Arabidopsis thaliana: one gene and its partners. The protein of the gene in region 2 interacts with the protein of the main gene of each other region in a biochemical or structural test. Each region holds a gene or a part of one and is shown on either strand. Other genes may lie near its edges. The genes, in order: JAZ3, COI1, TIFY7 and TIFY10B.

What was found.
Region 1: the proteins of COI1 (region 2) and JAZ3 form a complex in vitro, tested with the Arabidopsis thaliana proteins (3 studies listed by BioGRID).
Region 3: the proteins of COI1 (region 2) and TIFY7 form a complex in vitro, tested with the Arabidopsis thaliana proteins (one study listed by BioGRID).
Region 4: the proteins of COI1 (region 2) and TIFY10B form a complex in vitro, tested with the Arabidopsis thaliana proteins (one study listed by BioGRID).

The regions. Positions count from the first base shown.
Region 1 is NC_003074.8:6,117,847-6,123,548, reverse strand, and holds JAZ3 (jasmonate-zim-domain protein 3), read right to left. Parts: upstream 3,843-5,702; 5' UTR 3,582-3,842; coding exon 3,497-3,581; exon of another isoform or gene 2,467-3,496; coding exon of another isoform or gene 2,421-2,466; coding exon 2,221-2,420; intron 1,961-2,220; coding exon 1,746-1,960; intron 1,671-1,745; coding exon 1,580-1,670; intron 1,499-1,579; coding exon 1,195-1,498; intron 1,098-1,194; coding exon 1,037-1,097; intron 961-1,036; coding exon 858-960; 3' UTR 505-857; downstream 1-504. Other genes in the region: TDX (tetraticopeptide domain-containing thioredoxin), read right to left, coding at 1-15. UniProt on the Arabidopsis thaliana protein: Repressor of jasmonate responses. Jasmonoyl-isoleucine (JA-Ile) specifically promotes COI1-TIFY6B/JAZ3 interaction. Acts as a negative regulator of MYC2 function. Feed-back regulated by MYC2.
Region 2 is NC_003071.7:16,671,974-16,677,884, forward strand, and holds COI1 (RNI-like superfamily protein), read right to left. Parts: upstream 3,892-5,911; 5' UTR 3,514-3,891; coding exon 3,023-3,513; intron 2,338-3,022; coding exon 1,857-2,337; intron 1,682-1,856; coding exon 875-1,681; 3' UTR 520-874; downstream 1-519. Other genes in the region: ISA1 (isoamylase 1), read left to right, coding at 1-210; AT2G39950 (flocculation protein), read right to left, coding at 4,785-5,911. UniProt on the Arabidopsis thaliana protein: Required for jasmonate-regulated plant fertility and defense processes, and for coronatine and/or other elicitors perceptions/responses. Seems to not be required for meiosis. Required for the regulation of some genes induced by wounding, but not for all.
Region 3 is NC_003070.9:26,652,760-26,657,583, reverse strand, and holds TIFY7 (TIFY domain/Divergent CCT motif family protein), read right to left. Parts: upstream 2,817-4,824; 5' UTR 2,634-2,816; coding exon 2,543-2,633; intron 2,335-2,542; coding exon 2,252-2,334; intron 1,758-2,251; coding exon 1,603-1,757; intron 1,515-1,602; coding exon 1,430-1,514; intron 1,347-1,429; coding exon 1,106-1,346; intron 1,011-1,105; coding exon 835-1,010; coding exon of another isoform or gene 780-834; 3' UTR 520-779; downstream 1-519. Other genes in the region: HWI1 (Receptor-like protein kinase-related family protein), read right to left, coding at 4,203-4,222, 4,307-4,438, 4,738-4,824. UniProt on the Arabidopsis thaliana protein: Repressor of jasmonate responses. Jasmonoyl-isoleucine (JA-Ile) specifically promotes COI1-TIFY7/JAZ9 interaction. Interacts with and suppresses RHD6 and RSL1 transcription factor activities to negatively regulate jasmonate-stimulated root hair development.
Region 4 is NC_003070.9:28,148,031-28,151,997, reverse strand, and holds TIFY10B (TIFY domain/Divergent CCT motif family protein), read left to right. Parts: upstream 1-1,551; 5' UTR 1,552-1,739; coding exon 1,740-1,887; intron 1,888-2,206; coding exon 2,207-2,384; intron 2,385-2,476; coding exon 2,477-2,754; intron 2,755-2,841; coding exon 2,842-2,899; coding exon of another isoform or gene 2,900-2,903; exon of another isoform or gene 2,904-2,991; coding exon 2,992-3,079; 3' UTR 3,080-3,423; downstream 3,424-3,967. UniProt on the Arabidopsis thaliana protein: Repressor of jasmonate responses. Jasmonoyl-isoleucine (JA-Ile) specifically promotes COI1-TIFY10B/JAZ2 interaction. Activated by MYC2, MYC3 and MYC4 transcription factors.

The DNA of each region.
Region 1 (5,702 bases), on a different chromosome or scaffold from region 2:
AATCGCATCCACCATCGAATTCCGCCTTTTTCTTCTTCTTTCTATGAAAAGCTTAGAAATCAGTGAATCCTTGTGATCGTACGGAGCTGTGTCTGCTCGTATTGGTTTTGATTAGACTGAAAAACGTTGAAATAATCATCGCCGAAAACCGAACATGTCCAACCGGTTTTGTCTTCGCGTTAACTTAACCGCGACTGAATTCATATCCGGTTTATCATCTTTTGCAACATCCCTTTTCGTTGTGCAATAAGACATTGGGCCTTGATGGGCTACAACACAAAATGGCCCACATATTGAAATTAGGATGTTACAAAGAAACTCACAGCCAAAACGAAGACCGAAAAATAATTAGCCAAAACGAATTAAAGCAAATTCTAAAAGATGTTCCATTTTCTCCATATATAATGATGACTTCTTTTGTGAATTCGAGTTGGTAACTGGTAATGTATCAAGCTTATTGTTAACCAGAGTACAAATTAGCAAATCCTATTAAAAAAATCCCCATATTTGAATAGAAAATTGATTAGAGAAATAACTTAGGGAAACAGAAGCGATGCAATTCCATTACATGAATTATACATATGCGAGCTTCAGTGATATATACAAAAGAACAGAGTTAAAAAAAAAGAAACAAACAGTTTCTACTAATTTTCCCAAGTACATATCTGATATGCTCTCATAAGTTCCATTCCACCAAAAAACATGTAAACAAAGTATACACTATCGTATATATAAAGCTAAGGAGAAACTCAGTGTGGCGAGTGAGGAAAAATTAACTGAGACATTGAAAAGACCGCCATTGAAATGCAAATATGGATGTGGAGTGGTCTAAAGCAACCTTCTTACTGTAGATGAAATTAGGTTGCAGAGCTGAGAGAAGAACTAATGCATTCAGACATTGATCTGCGACAATCTGTCGATGACTTCTTGTCTAAGCAATATGGGGATACGCTCGTGACCCTGAGAAACCCACAGCGAGAAAGAGAGTTAGCCCAAGAAACTATTGAATGGTGTATTCTAAAGAAGTGTTGCGTACCTTTCTTTGCGTTTCTCTAAAAACCTAGCCAGGGATGCTTTGCGAGCCAGAGGTAATGCCACTGCATAAGAAACAGAACGAGAATGAAGTTACATCCATGAAAATACTAGTAAGTTAGATGGCGAATGTAGTATCAGGTCTCTGACTTTGTTTTTTACCTGTTGGAGCCATTACATTGGTAGAACAAGAAACTGGTACTGGGCAGTTAATATTGGATCCATTAGCTTGGTTGTTGTGATATGTTGACGTCAAGCCTCTTGTCGCTTTTGTGGCTCCGAGTCCGTTTGTGCTACTTCCAGCTTCAGGGCTAAGATAAGATATTGTAGGCATGAAGCTAGGAGGCATAGCTGAAGAATCGACAGAGGCACGAGTATGATGGACCACTTGTTGATGAGTTTGAGGCGGCGAAAAGACTTGAGGCATAGAGGAACCGTTCCCAGCTAGCAACATTATCGCCTTTGCCTGAGAAATGAAAGAAAGCAAATGAGTACCATACCTTACGAGTAAAAGAGATGCATATATGGAAGAAAATGATTGAGATACCTTTTCAGGAGATATGTCATCGTAAACACAAACTGAACCGGCATAAAAGATCGTCAACTGCGCAGGTGAACCTATTGGCTTGGAAGAAGATCTGACAAAAATAAGTCTTTAGTCAACTATGAAAATGTAGAAAGAGTTTCTGTATGATATGATGACTAGTGGGTACCTAATATCAGTAGTCCCTACAATGGAACCTGGAGGAGGAAGGATTGAAATTGGAGGTGCCATGATAGGAACTCCTACCAAAGGTTGTGAGTTATTGTTATTGTTCATGAAGCTTCTTCCTCCTGGTGCATAATGATGAGACTGGAAACCCGGCATCGACATGGAAACTGCGTTAGTTTCTTCGTGTTGATTGGAATTAGGGAACATCCTCACTCCCTGAGAGTAACAAGCCATAAAGTAGGTGTGAGGCATTGTATGAACTAACTTATCAAAAATGAGAAGCTTAGCTTACACTTAAAATGAATCAGTATTAAACCAAGATTAGATCCACAAACTAATTGCCATGAACTTGTGCTAAACTAGACTCAAAACCAATTACTATATGCTCATAAAACAGGGCTCACTTTTAAAGCTATCTTGCGAAGGATAAAAAAAACACAAGGGTCTTGGTTAACATAGGTTTTGATGACAAATACCTGTACAGAACTGTAAGGAGCTTTGCGGGTTGAATCATAAACATCAGCTACTGATGATGGCATGAAGGAACCAGAGTGAGGAAGATGATAATTTCCAGACTTTCTATGTCTATCTTCTTGAGTTGGCCTGAAGGATAGAAACTGAGAAGAAGAAGCTGATACTTTGTTTGAGAAAGACCAGTTCATTCCTCTGTTGGGAGCTACAAAAGAAAAAGAATAAAAGATAATCAGTTTAAAGTCAAACATGTAGTGTTAACTGTTAACCATAAATGTCTCGAGATCTCCTTACATAAACAACAGAGGATTAATTCAACACCTACTTCAAGGAAAAGATTAGTAACCAACAATGTAGAATCTGATACTGTTGACAAATTCAACGAGGGAAAACCACTTTCGAAAACCGTGTCTAATTCTAAAACATTTGATTGAAAGTCATTGTACGAAACTCCAATAATTTAAGTTTGTTTTAATAGTTTAAATTAAAGAGAGATTCAAACTTTAACCCCACCACACCACACCACATGTTGATGCACTACTTTTATGGTGTGGCACGTTTTGGCTGATAAGAAAACAAAGTTGAAATAATTATATTCCTCGTGGTGAGAAAACTATTATTTCCACATTGTACCTTGAACAATATTCTAACGCAAGTTCCGCTTAATCAACACACAACACAAATACACAATCAATATTTTAATAATCTCATAAACTAATCCAACTCACACAATCAAGAAGTTAATCATCTTATAAACTAATCCAACTCACTCTTTTGAGTATATTTAATCTTTCTACCTACTACCAACCGTCTCTATTTTATCATTTTTGTATCAGTCTCTATACATCCCCTCTTTTCCAACATTTTACGTATTCGTTTTTTTTTTAGTATAAACTAATAAAGTATTTCTCAATTATAAGACTCTTCAAACAAAACAAAAAAATTTACTCTAGTAAAAAAAAGTTTACCGAGTTTAATTATGTTAGAAGCTTGAGATTAGTTCTCGTTAATTTCTCCGACCGAAAGCATGTTTAAGACAAGGCTTTGGAAAAGAACACTAGTTTTTCCAAATCCAAATTCTACATCTCCCGAGAAAAGCAAAGGACAATGTTCTGCTCCAAGCAACAAACTGACAATTCCAGTTCCCGAGCAAGCCATAAAATCAGCTATCCAAAAACAAATTCCATACTACAAGTAGTCCTAATAACTCCTAATCAATCAAACAAATCTACGATTTAAAAACAATCAGAATCAGAAAAATTGAGAAGAGTAATAAATAACCTGAATCTCTAGAGCTTTCGCTGGTTTCCTCCTTGACAGTGATCGGAGAATTTTTCGAACCCAACCCGAGAAAATCTCTCTCCATCTATAATAAAGACACAGCCCGCTACAAAATTAATTCGATCTCAAATGTCTGTTTCGATTAAAACGCGTGTTAAACGCCGGAATCAAGCTAAATAGAGCTTCGCCGGAAAAAGGAAAAAAAACAGAGACTTTTGAGGGAGAAAATGAAAAAACGTGGAATGAAGTTAATTCACCGCAATTTCTAGTTTTATTAACAAATCGCATGCGACATGTGAATCGTACCATTAATTTATAACTATAACAAGAAAAAAAAGATTCTTTTTTCTCATATCCTATTGGCGCAAAAACCAGCTACAGGTTGTCCCGGTTACGTCACCGGATATAGTCGGTTAAAAAGGCACGTGCATCGTCGTGCAGTGTGTGGCGTTTCTTTTTGTGGTGAGACGCGTGGCGAGGCACGTGCGCTATTTTAACGTGAATGATTCACGAGATGCGAAGCGGCAGTTTTAATTTATTTTTTTATTCAATGACAACACTTTTTTTTGTCGGCTGACGCGCTAAGTGTAGCGCGTGAGTCTAACCCCCTTTTTGTCTCACCGCTCAATCTAAAATAGTAAAATTAGTTACACTACTTTCGTGCACGTTCTCTTGACCAAGATAAACATTTGCACGTTGCATTTTTTTGGCAAAATATATTAATTTGTATTTTAGTACTATATTTTTAATCTTTGATTAATCGGATGGTACTATAAAGTAATTGTAAAGATTAGACTTTCATAAAATGATTTAAATACAACAAAATAATTGTTGCGGAAATTTAGTTCCACAACTAAACATTATTAAGCTAAATCTAAATCCTCATGTGATTATGTCATCACTCTAATATTATTTTTTTTAATCCAATTTTTAATTATTTTTTCTGTCATTGTACTTTTATTAATATTTTTCGCGAATTATTAAAGAATGTTGCTTGTTGCTTAAACTATACTTGTATTAATTAAGGTAATTATTGGTACCAAAAAGAAAATATTACTTTAATGTACATATTACTAAAATCACTCGTTGACATCGTTTTTGTGTATTTATAAGATGCATGTGGTCCGGGGGAGGAAATTACGCCATTTCGTGCGTCACTTTCTTCTTAATTTAGTAAAAACTAATACTATACTAAATTTACTAATGTTTTAAAACATATCTAATTATCTCACAAATATAATAATAAAGTTTTCATTTTTTTATGAAAATGAATATTTAAAATTCAAATCTATAGAAAAAATGGAAAGGAGTCAATGATCACAACAACTTGACGATCTCTAAACAAAAAAAAAATTGACGATCATCTCCCACGATAACATCGTTATTTCGAGTCTGGGGGATATGCAGCACACGTCATTTTCTCCAGCCTAGAATTTAGATATTAATATCACATTATTAAGAAAATACTACACTGCAGTTTATTATATACACAACATTCCATATAGATAATAGATCAGATCAGATCAAAAGTGGACCTACAAAGCGAAGATTATATCAAAAGATGCCATAAACGCATCTCTCACGCTATGATCCACATAAAACATCCGAAATTTAATTCTGTTTTTACATCCGACATTTAATTCTTGTTTTCTGTTTTTACATCATTTAATTCTGGTTACCACGACATTTTTTTTGTTTTAATGGTATTAGACTCTATATAGACATACAAAACTCAAAACAAAAGATTCAATGATCACCCCCTACCAAAAAAAGAACAGATTAAATGATCACGAGTTGGCTTAACAACGAAAACTTTTCTCCAACCAAAACCAAACTTAACTATTCTAAATCAAACTCAACAGCAACAGCAACGTCTGTTTACAACAACAACTTAAATAATTTTGTATTAAAATCGAATGAGAGTAAATAATGGCAAAGAGAAAATCAAATGACATATGTATATGCATGATATATAGCGCAGCATTTAACTATATTTAGACTGACTTGAGTAGTTGCAATATTTGGCTCTCTTTTTTTTGAGTTTGGTGCTTTAGTGGATCCTTTGATGGCTCATCCTGCTTCTCGTCGACGTCGAGCCAGATCCAGAGAAGAGCCTCCCTACTTAATGATCTGGTCATTTCTCACCTGTTAATACTTACATTTTAGTTTTTATTTTGATATAGACTTATTTGCTAGTAATTATGGA
Region 2 (5,911 bases):
ACACTTGTTTCGCTACCGAATAGGCCAGGATACCGATGGGAGCCATTTGTAGACACGAGCAAACCGAGCCCTTACGACTGCATAACACCGGATCTCCCAGAGAGAGAAACGGCGATGAAGCAGTATAGGCACTTCTTAGATGCAAATGTGTACCCAATGCTCAGTTACTCATCCATCATTCTCCTTCTTTCACCAATTAAAGACCCCTGAGTTTGCGTGATTCCTCCAAAAGCGTATTAGACAAAATCACAACATATGAAGGAATCTTCTCAAATGTGAATGAGATGCATATACAGACAACTATTTCGTTACCTATATAATGTATTATAGTAAAGGTTCCTTTTATGGTTAGAAGAATCTGAATGGGGTACCTTTGGTCGGCTTCAGATATGCCCACTCATTGTTAATAGATTCCTTTATCGTCTGTTAATCCAATCAAAAGCTTGTTACATCGTTTTCAGAATTCGTGTAAGAACAAGAAATCAAAGTTTTCATCTATAAAGTTATAAATGATTATTAGTACTCTATTATTTGCCTTTTTACTAATGTTATCAAAACAATCACAACCACAAATAAAGTTTCAGATGCCAATCCAAACAAATATAGCTCTCAGAAGTCAACACCATGGACGATAAAGAAATCTCTCAAAATCTTCGGGGTTTTATTAAAGAAATTAAAGTAAACAGACCCCTGAGGAAAAATAAAGAAGTAATGACCATACAACAAACAAGACTGACTCTATGTAATCTCCCAAAAACATCGACGACACAACATGAAACAAAAAAAGAACCAAAGTAGTATAGTACACAGTTTGTGGAAACCCCAAAACTCGAGACTAAAAATCTTTATATACAAACCTGTTTTTTGGGTCATATCATATTGGCTCCTTCAGGACTCTAACAGTTGTTGGACAATCTGTTCTCTGGCCAGCCAGAGAGTAGTAAGCCAATATATGAGCCGGATGCTCCATCTCTCTTATCTCTCCTTGTTGATTCACTTCCGGGACTCTTCTTGATGGAATCAGCTCGATGTTCCAGTACGGTCTAGCCATCTGCATTAGATCTTGTCCCGTCATCGATGCTCTGTAACCTTGTACCCACAAGTATCTCAGTGAAGGCAATTTTGTAACCGCTGCAGCGATTGCTCGCTCACTGAAGCAACAACCTCTCATCTCTAGCTTCTGTAGATTTGGACAGCCTCTTGAGAATTCCATTAAACCTTCATCTGATTCACCTACGTAACCCAGCAGCATCCATCTCACGTTTGGACTGTACTGTCCGATGTAGCTTAAGCCCAAGTCGGTTAAGCCGCCTTGTCTCAGATAGAATGCAAATCGTCTGAGTTTCTTGCATCCAATCAAAAGAGATCGGACTCCGTTGTCCAGTGGCAGATCTGTAATCCTTTCTTCCCGGTCGAGTAAGACAAGGCGGAAGTCACAGAGGTTTTTCAGATATGTGCCTATGCTTTCAAGAGATTCGTTAGTTATATCTGAGACATACACCGCCATGTATTCTAGCTCCTGGCAGCCCTGAGCCAAAGCGATTAATCCTCTTTGTGAGACTAAGCCTTCTTCGTCCTCCATTCCTTGTTCATCTGCACCGCGTTCAATCCTCAGCCGCTTCAACTGCTTACAGTACTGTGCAAGGACCTCTAGACCCCTATCTCCGATTACATTCCTTGTCTGAAGAAAAACAACAAGTGTTGTCAGTCTTATATAGATGTAAAGACTAAAGAGAACCAATATTGCATTCATATCCCTTATCTCCCCAAATATTTCGTGAAAAAATAGGAACACAATTTAGTACTAAGGACGCATTCCCAAGTATGTAGTAAAGACAGCAAAGTTAAACGTTTACCTCGAGAACTTCCAAATTAGGACACTTTTGGATAAGCGTACAATGGTCTTCAGTTTCTAGCAATGCATAAAGCAAATCCAGCTTTCGGATTTGGGCCGCGAATGGAAATAGTATTGGCATTTCATTAGGTCCCATGTAAGAGAGACCAAGCCGACATAGTTTTCGGGGAAAAACCAGATTCATGTACTTCTCAGGCATTCCAATATCCTCATTCAAGGAGCCACCACAAAATTCTTCAAGATTAGCTGCAGCCTTAAAGAACCCAACTAGTTCCAAAATCTCAAAGTCACCGACCTTCACAGATACCAGAGAGCGGCAATTTCTAGCTATGGTTTCCAAGTCTTTGGGACTGATTTTGGCAAACTCCGTCATGTAGAAGTTTAAAACCTCAAGAGATGTGTTGTGCTGAGCAAGCTCATGAAGCCACTTACCATCCTTTTCACTAAAAGAACTCTCTTCCATTAACAAAGTTTTTATTTTCCTGGACAAGACAACAGACAGTTGCATGAATAAAGTGAGAAACAACTCAAGATATTTGGATTTCCCGCTAAAACTGAATATGAAGAACAGCAGCAGCCGAATCAAGGATTCAAAAACCAAATAATACACATAAACTCTGGCAGACTGAAGATGTCAGAAATCAATCTTTTTGCTATTTATGCATAAACAAAGTGAATGTTCCCCAAAGAGGGAAAAAATTGGTTGTAGATAAAATCCGGATCAAAGTTTATACTTCCCCAATTGAGAAATAACTGAAGATCATTGCAATTTCTGCTTTAATAGCAAGCATAACAGTTGCAAAGCAATTAAGGATATAAGACAAACATGAACGCCTAAATACTGAAACTTTCTGAAATAAATGTTTCTGCTTATATTACTCTTAGTGTAAAGTGTACTAAGAAATCAAATGAAGTAAGGTTCACCAATTTCATTAAGGACAAAAAGTATCCACCAAAGTTACAACTTACCCAATTGAGCTAAAGAAGATCAAATCTTTACAAACACAAACTCAAGATATGGTTCTTTGTACAACGACGACTTATTAAGTTTTTTAAAAAGAGCCAAATGCATCTAGAGTTCTAGTCAAAGTAGGAAATGATAAGGAGTCGCTAAACCTCAAAAGCATCGAGCCAAAGTAGCTACAAGATACTGAGAAGTAAGTGTACCTGCAGTGTGTAACGATGCTCAAAAGTCCATCAGTAGTAAAACCAGAACACTTGTCTAGCTTCAAAGTCTCAAGATCATCTGCTCTAGCTTTAGCTAAACGATCTAGATCTAAGTCACTGACAATCATCCGTCGGAAGTGCACCGATTTGAGCTGCCTAAGGTTGTTAGAAATCTCAGTAACCCAAGGAGTAACATAACCTCCCCAGTTCTCAGGGATCAGATTAAACATAGCTGCTCTAGGCTTGCCTTTAAGCTTGAGCGACCTCAAGTTCGGGAATCGACGGCTAAGACGATCAGGCGTCGCAGTGTAGCAAAGCGCCATAGTCACATGCTCTCTCGTCTCGGAATCAATCTTGAACCATCTCCGACACACCAAAGAAGCCGAATCGCGATCTTTCGGGTCAGTTATATAGGTCATGACTTGCTCGATGACATCATCAACCGTCGCGACGCAGCTCAATTTACACCTCTTGATATCAGGATCCTCCATCGGATCGAAAAAAAAACAAAAGAAAAAAACAAACGAATCCTGGAAAGATTCGATTTAGAGAAGAAACCGACGACTTCGAATTGAAATCGAGGTCGCAGATCCACACATAACCACCAGAGTGAGAAGAAAGAAGTAAGAAAGGAAAGATCCGGTGAATCGGAGAAGACTAGAGATTGAGAGAGTGAGGGAGAAGAAGACACGCGTAGGAAGAAGAGGCGGATTGGGAGGAAGAAGAAGAAAGTGGGACGATGGAATCAAATTTTGTTTGGTTAATAATATTTTTGAGGATCAAGTGGGACGATCATTATTTCATACACTGAAGTTGACGGTCGAGATGCGATCTTCTCTCTACTTCTATGTTTTTCTTTTCATTTTTGCAGTGGTCAGATCTCAGCTACACGACAATATTATTAGAATATTTAACTGATCCAATAAGCTGTGTGATTTATTCGATGGATAGATTTAATTATTTCTTTATAGAGTATTAATAACCTGAATCCTAAGCAAAAAATTTAAAAATACTAAATACTAGTATATGTTATCTTTGGTTGCTTTATATGTGATTAAAATAAAAATACAATAATTCTCCTTTCTTTTGTAAGATAAAAATTTTCTACAGTATTAGTAGCTTTTAATGAGGAAAAAAAAAGTTGTTGACTGCATGAATTTATATGGTCCATAATATGGTTAACTATATATTATGGACCATATGAATATAAGTATATAACAAAAAACTACATTTAATGATGTATGATTTTCAAGGTTTATTTGGTACAAGTTCAACATCAATTGTCGAAAGAAAGCGCTCAAAATGGTACTTTTGGAACAAAGACTATTTACATGTCTTTTTTTTAACGTCTTTGGGATTAAATCATTCAGCAACAAGACTTAAAAAGCAGCAAATTATTAACTTTTAGTGCTTATTACAGTTGCGAAAAGAACCAATCACATTGAAATTTCTTTCAGTGACAAAAGTTTTTCCAATAGAAAAAAAAAGCTCAGGAAAAGTATTAGAAAGAACAACAATGACTATGAATAAGGAGGGAACCATGAAAGAAAATGAATACTGCAAAAGAACTTTTTTATTATGATCGTATTTCTTAGCTTCATTTGAAACTCGGAAATAACAAAGGTAATATAAGCAAGCTACAAAAAACCCGACTAATTACACCTGAAACCAAAAGACTTGGGCTGAACAAAACCAAAAACTAGGCGAGAGATGAGTTTTCTATACACTTAACTCGGACCACACTTACAAAGAACCAAAAAAATTAACCAGAAGTCTCTCTGGGAGGCGCAGGCACTGCTTCGCTTGAGCTCACACTCTCACCACCACCATCTCCTCCCTCAACTGAACTCGGTTGTTGCAACCCAATAGGTGCAAACAAGCTCACACCACTCACATCCCGGCTCACACTGTATAGACCTCTGCTTCCATGATGGTTCAAAGGTGTAGATGTTGTTGCATTGGCTCCGCTTATGAGCAATCGTAGTGTTTCTCTTGCACCTTTCTCGACCAGCGAATCATTCTCCACTGGGAGCGGAGGGATGCCCGTGGATATTATCCCGGTGGGTCCAGCGCTTACCAGATAGCTTTGACCTGAAGAGAAGATATCGATAACTGGAATATGAACAATAGGGTCGCACATTATAGGAATCATCATCTGTTGCTGGGATGATGATGATGATGAGCCTGGAATGGGTATGTGGTGGACTAATGGTAATGGAGGGATGTCAGAGAGATCGAGCGGTGATGACGGGATCAAGAATCCATCTGATCCCGATGCTGGTAATAAGGAGGAAAGTGGCGGAAGGGAAGGTAGCTCAATGGATAGTGGAGGGAACTGATAAGAGGCAGATGGTGCGTGAAGCGATGAAGTGGTTGGAGGGCACCAGCAATAATAAGGAGAAAAGACTGGTGGACCCATCTTCAAAGGAAATGGGGGAGGTCCGGTCATTGTACTTGGTGTTGACTCTGCTTCTTCAAAAGCAATAATTTGTCTGATTCCATTATAATTCTCAGTAGCTTCTTCAACTTCTCCTTCTGACTGGATAAAACCCTCTACATTGGTGGGGATAGAGGTAATGGATGAATTATCAAAGATTGAGAAATGGCCTTCACTGTGTCCCTTTGATTTATCTCTAGAGGAGATACGTAGAGAAGCATTTCTCAGTGTGTTTTCTTTGAAGGAGCTTGCTCTAGGGCTGAGGCTTCCTTGGGTCTTTGTCTGTTGAGTCCCACAGTGGCGTGCTCTAAGAGATTTTGATGATGCACTCGAGGAGGAATCAGCTGTTTCAGAAAAGCCAGAAGATGATGATGAATCAGGAGATGGGACCTGACAACCTTTGATGTTAGGCACCACTGAACCCATGAGATACAAACGGAGATGAGAAGCAA
Region 3 (4,824 bases), on a different chromosome or scaffold from region 2:
CTTATGTGCATCTCCTTCACCATTATTACTTTCCTACAATTATTTATCTGCCTCTAAATAATAATATCTATAAGATCTTTCCGCTTGTGAAGAGAATCTCTCTGTTTTCGTAATCAACATGTGAGCTCTTTTGGTTCACAATTTTTTTTTTGTTTACTGTAGCACATAAACTAGTAGTATTTATTCTCCTTAACATCAAATTTTGAACTCGTGACTTTCATAAAAAGCTATTTAAAACATGAATATTTTCCTTTGAAAACATATCATTTTTTGTAATATATCATCTTAGGTATTTTACACAATCATCAACCTCAAGAGAATTTTCACCTTCTTATTTTCTTTACATTGATACCAAAAAAAAACTCGAGAGAATAATAGTAAAGTGGACTTGTTAACAACGAAAGCTGGCGATACAAAACTAGTACTATTCTCTTTAGCGATGCATTCAATATGATTTTGGTATAAATCAATTAAGTGTTCATATAATTAGTTAATGAAGTGTGTTTGTGAAATTAGCAAAAAAAAAATTATAGTGAATTTTATTTGATATTAAATTCTTGACAGACATGAGTCCATGACAAACATATATCTGTTAGTTCTTAAAGTTATAATGTAATCCTACAATAAACAGACCAAAGCATTACAAACAATGATCAAATACAGAGACGCCCTAACGTCTTCTCCTGCTCGTAAGAATATAAATGGTAACTATATAATCATAATCTAATGATTACAATTACAAATTACCATTGTAAAAAAAAAAAAAAAAAGTGTAGGTTTTATGTAGGAGAAGTAGAAGAGTAATTCATTCCACTGGATTCTCCGGTCGACAAATCAAGAAGCATCTTCTTGTATGGCATTGCACTCATAAGCCTGCACCAACAACATCAATTCTTTTAGATTCAATTGAAAAACCTCAAAATTTTCTATAAAGAAAAAAAATACAAAATCAAACCTCTCTTTGCGCTTCTCCAAGAACCGAGCCAAGGATGCTTTCCGAGCTTGAGGGACTGGAAAAAAGCAATTTTCGAGTTTAGACATATGATTTGAGGAAGCAAAAATCTTGATTATATTTTGTTTTGATGTTGATATTAGACACACATACCTGAAGGAATCATGTTACGAGGAGCTGCATTGAATGATTCGATCATGCTCATTGCATTAGTCGCAGCAACGGGTGTGTCCCTACACCTTGAGAAATTATCAGTGTGAGTGGCAGAGCTTGATGAGGTAGCAGCAGTGTTATGGATTTGTTTTCCATACATTCTTTCAGCTTCTCGAACCGGTTTGCTATCTCCAGTTTCACCTTTCAAACCGTTCCCGGCGCATAACATGATGGCTTGAGCCTACTCACATATCATGAATAGTCCGTTTTAGAACATGTAAATGTTATGTAAATGTTATTTGTATGAATCTTGATTATATATACCTTATCGGGAGATATGTCATTAAAGACGCTTATAGTTCCGCCATAAAAGATTGTGAGCTGAGGAGATGATCCGGAGGAAGCCACTCTGTTTCCACAAACCCACATAACCAAATCAAAATATGAAAAGAGCAAAAAAATTGTTGAATGTTTTTGCATCATAATATGGAAATTACCGTGGAACAAGAGAAGGATGAGTTGGTAAAGGAACTGAACCGCCTAGTAAAAGCGGCGTCGCGTTTTGAAACGCACCACCAAATTGGCATCTGCGGAAAACATTGGCCGCAGAAACTGATCCCCACTGGTATGCACCCGGAAACGCCTTAGCCTCCTAATTTGTTAAATTCAAATTTTAATCGTCAACGTCTTTAAATTTTTTGTACATTCTAAATTTAGAAAAATGCCAAGAAATAAACGTGATCCAAACGCCAAACACCAAACGCCACAAAATATTAAATTATTTTTTCCCTAACTTTGCGGCTGGCAGACGACCGACCCTACCAGCTCTTAACTAGCACTTATCCAACAATTTTTTTTCCCTGGTTAATGATTGGCCACATACACAAAAATGATAAAGTTCGGCCATTTATCCGACCATTTTCCGGTGGCTATCTCTTACGAAAACAACTTTTCTCATAAATATGTGATTGATGTGTTTAACATAATTTGAAAGTAAATTCTTCTTTTTAATCAAGACCATAATTGAGTACTCCTCTTGCACATGCTAAAAGACGACCATGATTATGCGGTAGCTTATAGAACCATTAGATTAGCCATAACATCTGAAACTGATACAGAGTAAGTTAAATTTTAAGATGAACCAACCTGGAAATCTGAAGAAGGCATGAAACTTGAAGTAGCAAAAACCTTTGACTTCCCCCATTCTCTAGCTGCCTTCGTACTTAACCCTATAAGTATCATTTTTTATGGTCGTCAATTTGACTAATCTATCCAATCTCATTTTTATAAAAGATTTAATGGAATCTTTTTTTTTTCAAGTTTTGGAATCTGAAAAATTATATTTAAATAAACAACTTTATACGGCTATGTTAAAAGTGAAAACTGATCTCTTCTTGAAACATTAAAATAAAAGATTCTCGAGACAAGAACACAAACCTCGTTCTTCGACAGCATCATCGTTAACCTCATGCTTAACGTTATTACTTAGATACTGCTTGTCGCTCAAACCCAGAAAATCTCTTTCCATTGCAAACCAAATATTCAATGACAAACTCTCAAATTAACGTGTTTCTCTCTGTTTCTTGCCCAAAACATCCAATTTAAAGAAGAGGAAGAAGAAAACAGAAGAAAGAAGTGGGAATCCACAAGGAAGGTTTCGTTTTGGTAATGTTACAGACACACTTTTGGAGAGGCTTATTTAACTCTTTGCCTTTCCTGTTTTTAAAGGCTTGCTTGATTAAAGCATGTGGGGCTTTTTTCTGACCGGTACAAACGGTTGGTGCTACTGGTTAAACCGGTTAATTCACACGTGTTTATTCTTTTGATTTTTTCATTTCTGAGGACCATATACAATTAGACATCCGTCGACCGTCGGTGGCTCTAGTTTATAATAGTGCATGTTTTTTTTCAAAGGTGGATTAATTAGTTTGGCTATTGGATATTTTCTTCGTGAACTCACACACACATGTAAAATGTGTGGTTGCTTTTCTTATGCAACGGTTTGGTATTTATCACATATTTTTTTCTTTTCTTTGAAAATTATTTCAACTATAATAATAAATGAAATGATAAGCCAAGACTCTTTCGTTGAGGCAAAAGTAATGTCACGTATTGGATATACAATAACCAAATCACGAGAATGCTCAATGGGCTGAAAGAAGTTTGATTTGCTTATCTAAGGCCCATAATTTTGTTTACGGCCCGACTTACATTAAATCTGTTCAGTATAACTGTACAGATTTGGCTAAATTGCATTCCAAACTAGACCTCCAAGAACTTGAGTGAACTTTTGCTAAGCTCATTTCATAACACGTGAAATTTTTGAATCTTTGATACATCATGTTGTTATTTGAGACCAATTTTTCTTATTCATATAATGTTTCAAACAGACGCAAGTCATTTATTAGTCATGTTACTCATGTACAAATTAAAAGAAGAACCTGGTTATGAAGCAATCATCGGTAGTACATTAAGAATTTCAGAAAATTAAAAAAAATATGGAAAAGAATTAGACGTTAGTTGGTCTTTCAAAGTCCTAAAACGATTTGGTAGTCAGCTTACAATTTTAAATTATCATTTTTAATGATTAAAGGACATTAGGCCAAGTCTTCAATTGAGTTCTTTAGACAATATGAGAATAAATAATGATGAATACGATGAAAAGATTCGTTCAGACATTCGCAATAGGACGAACACAGTTATCATTTTTTGGATCTCCATCCTGATTTACGGTTTAATATGTTCCATTATTCTCGACACGTTCATTTATTTTAACTTGTTTGTGTATTGATAAAAGAAGCTCAAACCCTTTTAATTACTGTTATTTTTTGCATAGACGAAAAACATGGCATTTATAGAAGATAAGAAATCGAAGGTTTCATTCACATCAAAGAAGAAGATATCGCTTTGGCCTATATAAGTCCGACAATTATACAAAAATCGATTCGGAGATACAATCATATCAATACTATATCAAATTATCAATATACTATAACTACGTACATCTTATGAGGGAGAACAAAAAAAATTACAAAAATACAACTAACAGTGTGGCTCGACTCGAGTTGTTGATTGATATCTTTCCCACTTTGTCCTTTCATTTACACCATTTCTCATCTGCAAAAGGCATATACATAGTAATTTAGATTTTATGATCGATAAAAGAACTGAAAAAAAAACGTAAATCAATATCAAAAATACCTTGTAATTTTCTACAACACTTTCCAACAAAAGCGAGAAACACAACGAGCAAGATGATTAAGGTGACGATTCCTATTATTATCGCCAATGTTTTTCCCACTCCATTATCATCCTTATTGCCCTTCTCTCCTTCTGCCAAATATATATATATATAATTTTAAAACTATCCATCCACCTCTAAAGTTTTTAATAAATTTGTTTTCTCCATCAAGTATAATGTTCATATTTTTATTTATGGTCAACACTATCAATTTTATGGGTTTAAAAATTTAGCGTCGTACACAAATATATAAACCATTAGACTAATTGTTAAGATCAGTCTAATATTTAAATTTTCATCTGAGGTTACGTAAAAAGGTTTTTTTTTTAGTGATTACGACTTTTTATTTTTTTATCTAGTTTAGTTAAAATAAGTTTAGAGGAAGACTGACCATGACCAAAGTTTGGGCCTGGGGTCTGACGCGCGTGACTACCACCAACACTGAAACGCGCGTAACATTTCGACAAGTAAACATATC
Region 4 (3,967 bases), on a different chromosome or scaffold from region 2:
AAATTTAGTAGCTCTTGACAGTTTTCCCTTTGTTAATTACATATATAGAGAGTAACTAAATCATCTTTTGAAAGGTAAAAACTAAAAAAATATATTCCAAGGGCCCAATGTTTTACCACTTTCATATGTAAGCTTATTTTCTGTTAAATATGTGAAAGAAAGAAGAGGAATGAATCAGCTGTGAAAACCAAGAGCAAGTATAAAAACATGGCTAAAAGGGTATCAATCAGCCTTGTATAAGAGAGCCATAAGTAGATAAAGTTTCTACAGTAAAAACAGGAATATAGAGTACTATTCCTTAATTAGCTTATGTTCTTCTATTCTTCTTGTGACCTCTATCTTGCATTTTTGTGACCACCCCACTTGCCTTCTTCTTTTTGGTTGCATACTCTAAATAATATCCAGACTTTGATGTCTTTATGCGCTCTGGGTTCTTCTTGTGACCCCTCTTCCTTGTAATTGTATGTACCTGCAGCTTCTTCTGATTTTGTTTCTTATGGATATGTTTGTGATGTATAAAATTTTGTGAAGATGTTTATAAAACAGTTAAAAACCAAATTAACCAATCATCCTTATTTTCTCACGAGCCACTCTATGAACCTTACGTTATCTCGATGTACCTGTAATGAGTTAGCAATTACTACAATCCAAGTCAATAAAATAACAAGTTGGACGTTACGTTATAAAAGAAAATCAAACTTATTTGTGTGTTCCTAACAAACGCATGGGATAATAACAAGAGAATAAAAGACAGAGTGATAGGATCAACGGCTATTGTGCGTAGGAGAACACAGCTGCTATATAAGCCGCGTAACAGGTGATTACTCTGACTACGACACCAACAAGAAAAATTCTCTCAAATGTGGGCAGTTAAGTTAGACACGTGTAAGGTCGCGATTCATGGAGGAGACGTGCTCTTCCCGCTTTTTGTAATTATTTATTACTGTTGTCATAAATAAAACACTAAAAAAAAATTAATAAAAGGGAAAATACAAAACGTGATTTATGGATCAAATTTGCATTGGTGGTGGAGTTTTGGTTATGTAAGACCCACACCGTGTTCCCTCTATCTAACGCCGTTAATCCTCTTTTTTCCCCCAAATCATACCGTTAATTCTCTTTGAGTGCTAAAATATCACGCCGGTCTATGAGATTAAAATAGTAGACTAATTAATAGTGCTAAAAATACATAAATTAATGCCAAGAGATTCATCTTAAAAAAAAGGATATATGAACCAACTAAATGGTATAACTGAAAGACTATCATAATCAAATTTCATCTGAACATTGATTTGTTTGAACTAATTAATTTTAGGATTTTACGTTTTCATAATTTTTTATTTTATTTGAACATCTTGTAAGGGTAAAATGGTAAAAACAGGAGTAGTAAGAGGGTGAAATGGTTATTTCAAGTGTGAAGCGTGGGGACGTGGGTGACGGTGGTGATCTGAAACAGTGGTCTGCCGTTAAAACATTAAATTAAAACACGTGTTTTAAATGTCTCTATGTTAATTAATACTATAAGAGTATATTTTACTAATTTCCGTATCTGCAACCAGCGAAAAAAAAGTAATAAAGAGGTCCTCCATTTCTTCCTCGTGACAAAACGCACTTGGCAGAGAAAGATAAACAAGAACCCTAAGTTTTTTTATAAGATTCGAGAAAATTCAACAACTCAGGAAGGAAGATCCTTTTGCTCCAATTTCTCAATCGAAACGATTTCAATTTCGGTTTCAACGATGTCGAGTTTTTCTGCCGAGTGTTGGGACTTCTCTGGTCGTAAACCGAGCTTTTCACAAACATGTACTCGATTGAGTCGTTACCTGAAGGAGAAGGGTAGTTTTGGAGATCTGAGCTTAGGGATGACATGCAAGCCCGACGTTAATGGTAATCAACCTTTCTCTTTTAGATCTGTTCATTTCGTTTCTGCGAATTTTGAGTTTCCTGTTGCGAATTACGAATTATGAATCGATTACATGTTGTCTGGAAATTGAATCGTTGTAGAGAATCGATGATTAATGGATTTTGAATCAATTTCTATATATGTATGTATGTGTATGAATTTGTGGAGATGGTTCTGTGTTTGGTTTAAGCATAATCCTCTAAAGCCATAGGCCTGGTTTAGTCATTAAGTAGATTTTGTTTTGCAGTTGTTTGAGAGATTGGTGAATGATAATAATCTTTACTTTTGGATCAATTTTCGCAGGAGGTTCACGTCAGCCTACAATGATGAATCTGTTCCCTTGTGAAGCTTCAGGAATGGATTCTTCTGCTGGTCAAGAAGACATTAAACCGAAGACTATGTTTCCGAGACAATCAAGCTTTTCTTCTTCCTCTTCCTCTGGGACCAAAGAAGATGTACAGATGATCAAAGAGACTACTAAGTATGTGTTTATATGTATATAGTGAAAAGAATCGTCTCATATAGTAAGCTATGTTTCATCAGTTTAACTAATTTTTGTGTGATTTTGAACAGATCTGTGAAGCCAGAGTCTCAATCTGCTCCGTTGACTATATTCTACGGTGGTCGAGTTATGGTGTTTGATGATTTTTCTGCTGAGAAAGCTAAAGAAGTCATTGATTTGGCTAACAAAGGAAGTGCCAAAAGCTTCACATGTTTCACAGCTGAAGTAAACAATAACCATAGTGCTTATTCTCAAAAAGAGATTGCTTCTAGCCCAAATCCTGTTTGTAGTCCTGCAAAAACCGCAGCACAAGAGCCAATTCAGCCTAACCCGGCCTCTTTAGCCTGCGGTAATTGATCTCAGCCTCTTTTGGTTCAACCATCTCTGAGCTTGGCTTAGTCCTATTTCTCTAACTTTCTCTCTTTTTGATTTGTAGAACTCCCGATTGCAAGAAGAGCTTCACTTCATCGGTTCCTTGAGAAGAGGAAGGATAGGTAATGCATTTTAATGAAAACATAATATCTTGTTATTCCATAAGTTCTTGTTAAGCGAATTTCTCAATATCCTACTCGTAAACCTTTAACAGGATCACATCAAAGGCACCATACCAAATAGACGGTTCAGCTGAAGCGTCTTCCAAGCCTACTAACCCAGCTTGGCTCAGTTCACGGTAAACTTCGAGCCTGTCCGACCCAGAAGGCACAACTTGAGAGACCTTCTTGTAAGATTCTTCTGATGCTCCATCGTTACAAATATCAAGCTGCTCCTCTGTTCATTTTTTCTATAGATTAATTTCACCCCTAGTAGTTTTGTTTGTTTAACTCCCCCGAAAACTCATTATATTTGTATGAAATCAATATCAATAGTGTTCAATGTTTGCTTCTGGGGTTTAAGTTTTAGCCAGTGTGTATAACCCTTTCCTCTGCCGATCTCAACATTAGCTTGCAACTTTTGTAAGAAACATCACTTGTGTTTTTGTGTTGATGGCCATTAATATAATCCAAGTTTATTTAATCCGATTGTTTGTTCGTCACTTATTGAGAGCTGAAGCTTACAGTTAAGGAACAGAAATACTTAAAGCATTCTCGAAAATAAAGAAATGTCTAAAAAATGATGATTTTCTATCAAGTATTGTCGTGTGAAAGATTTTCTTTAACAAGTCTGCTATTGTTCAAAATACGTTTTAACCTATCTATCCATTATAGTATTAGCATTTTCGTTTTGTTGTTAAATACATGGCACAAACTATGTAGACTATTTTTGGTTAAAATACCAAGCCAGTTACAATTTTGTTTTTCCCAAAATACTAGTTATAACTTTGTAAAATATCCGAAGTCCATAATAAAAAGAGCTTCATAAATATCCAATAAGTGGAGTAGATCAGACCAGGCTTGGTAGGCCACGGGAATTCTGACCCACGATAACTTTTTTTCGTTCGGTCTTGAACAATGATTTGTTCGGTCTTGAACAATGATCATCCAACTAACAAAACGTAAATTTGGTCCAAAGACTGGTCCGAAATTCGTTATGATTAATAAGCCCGAAGAACCTAAGATCCAATT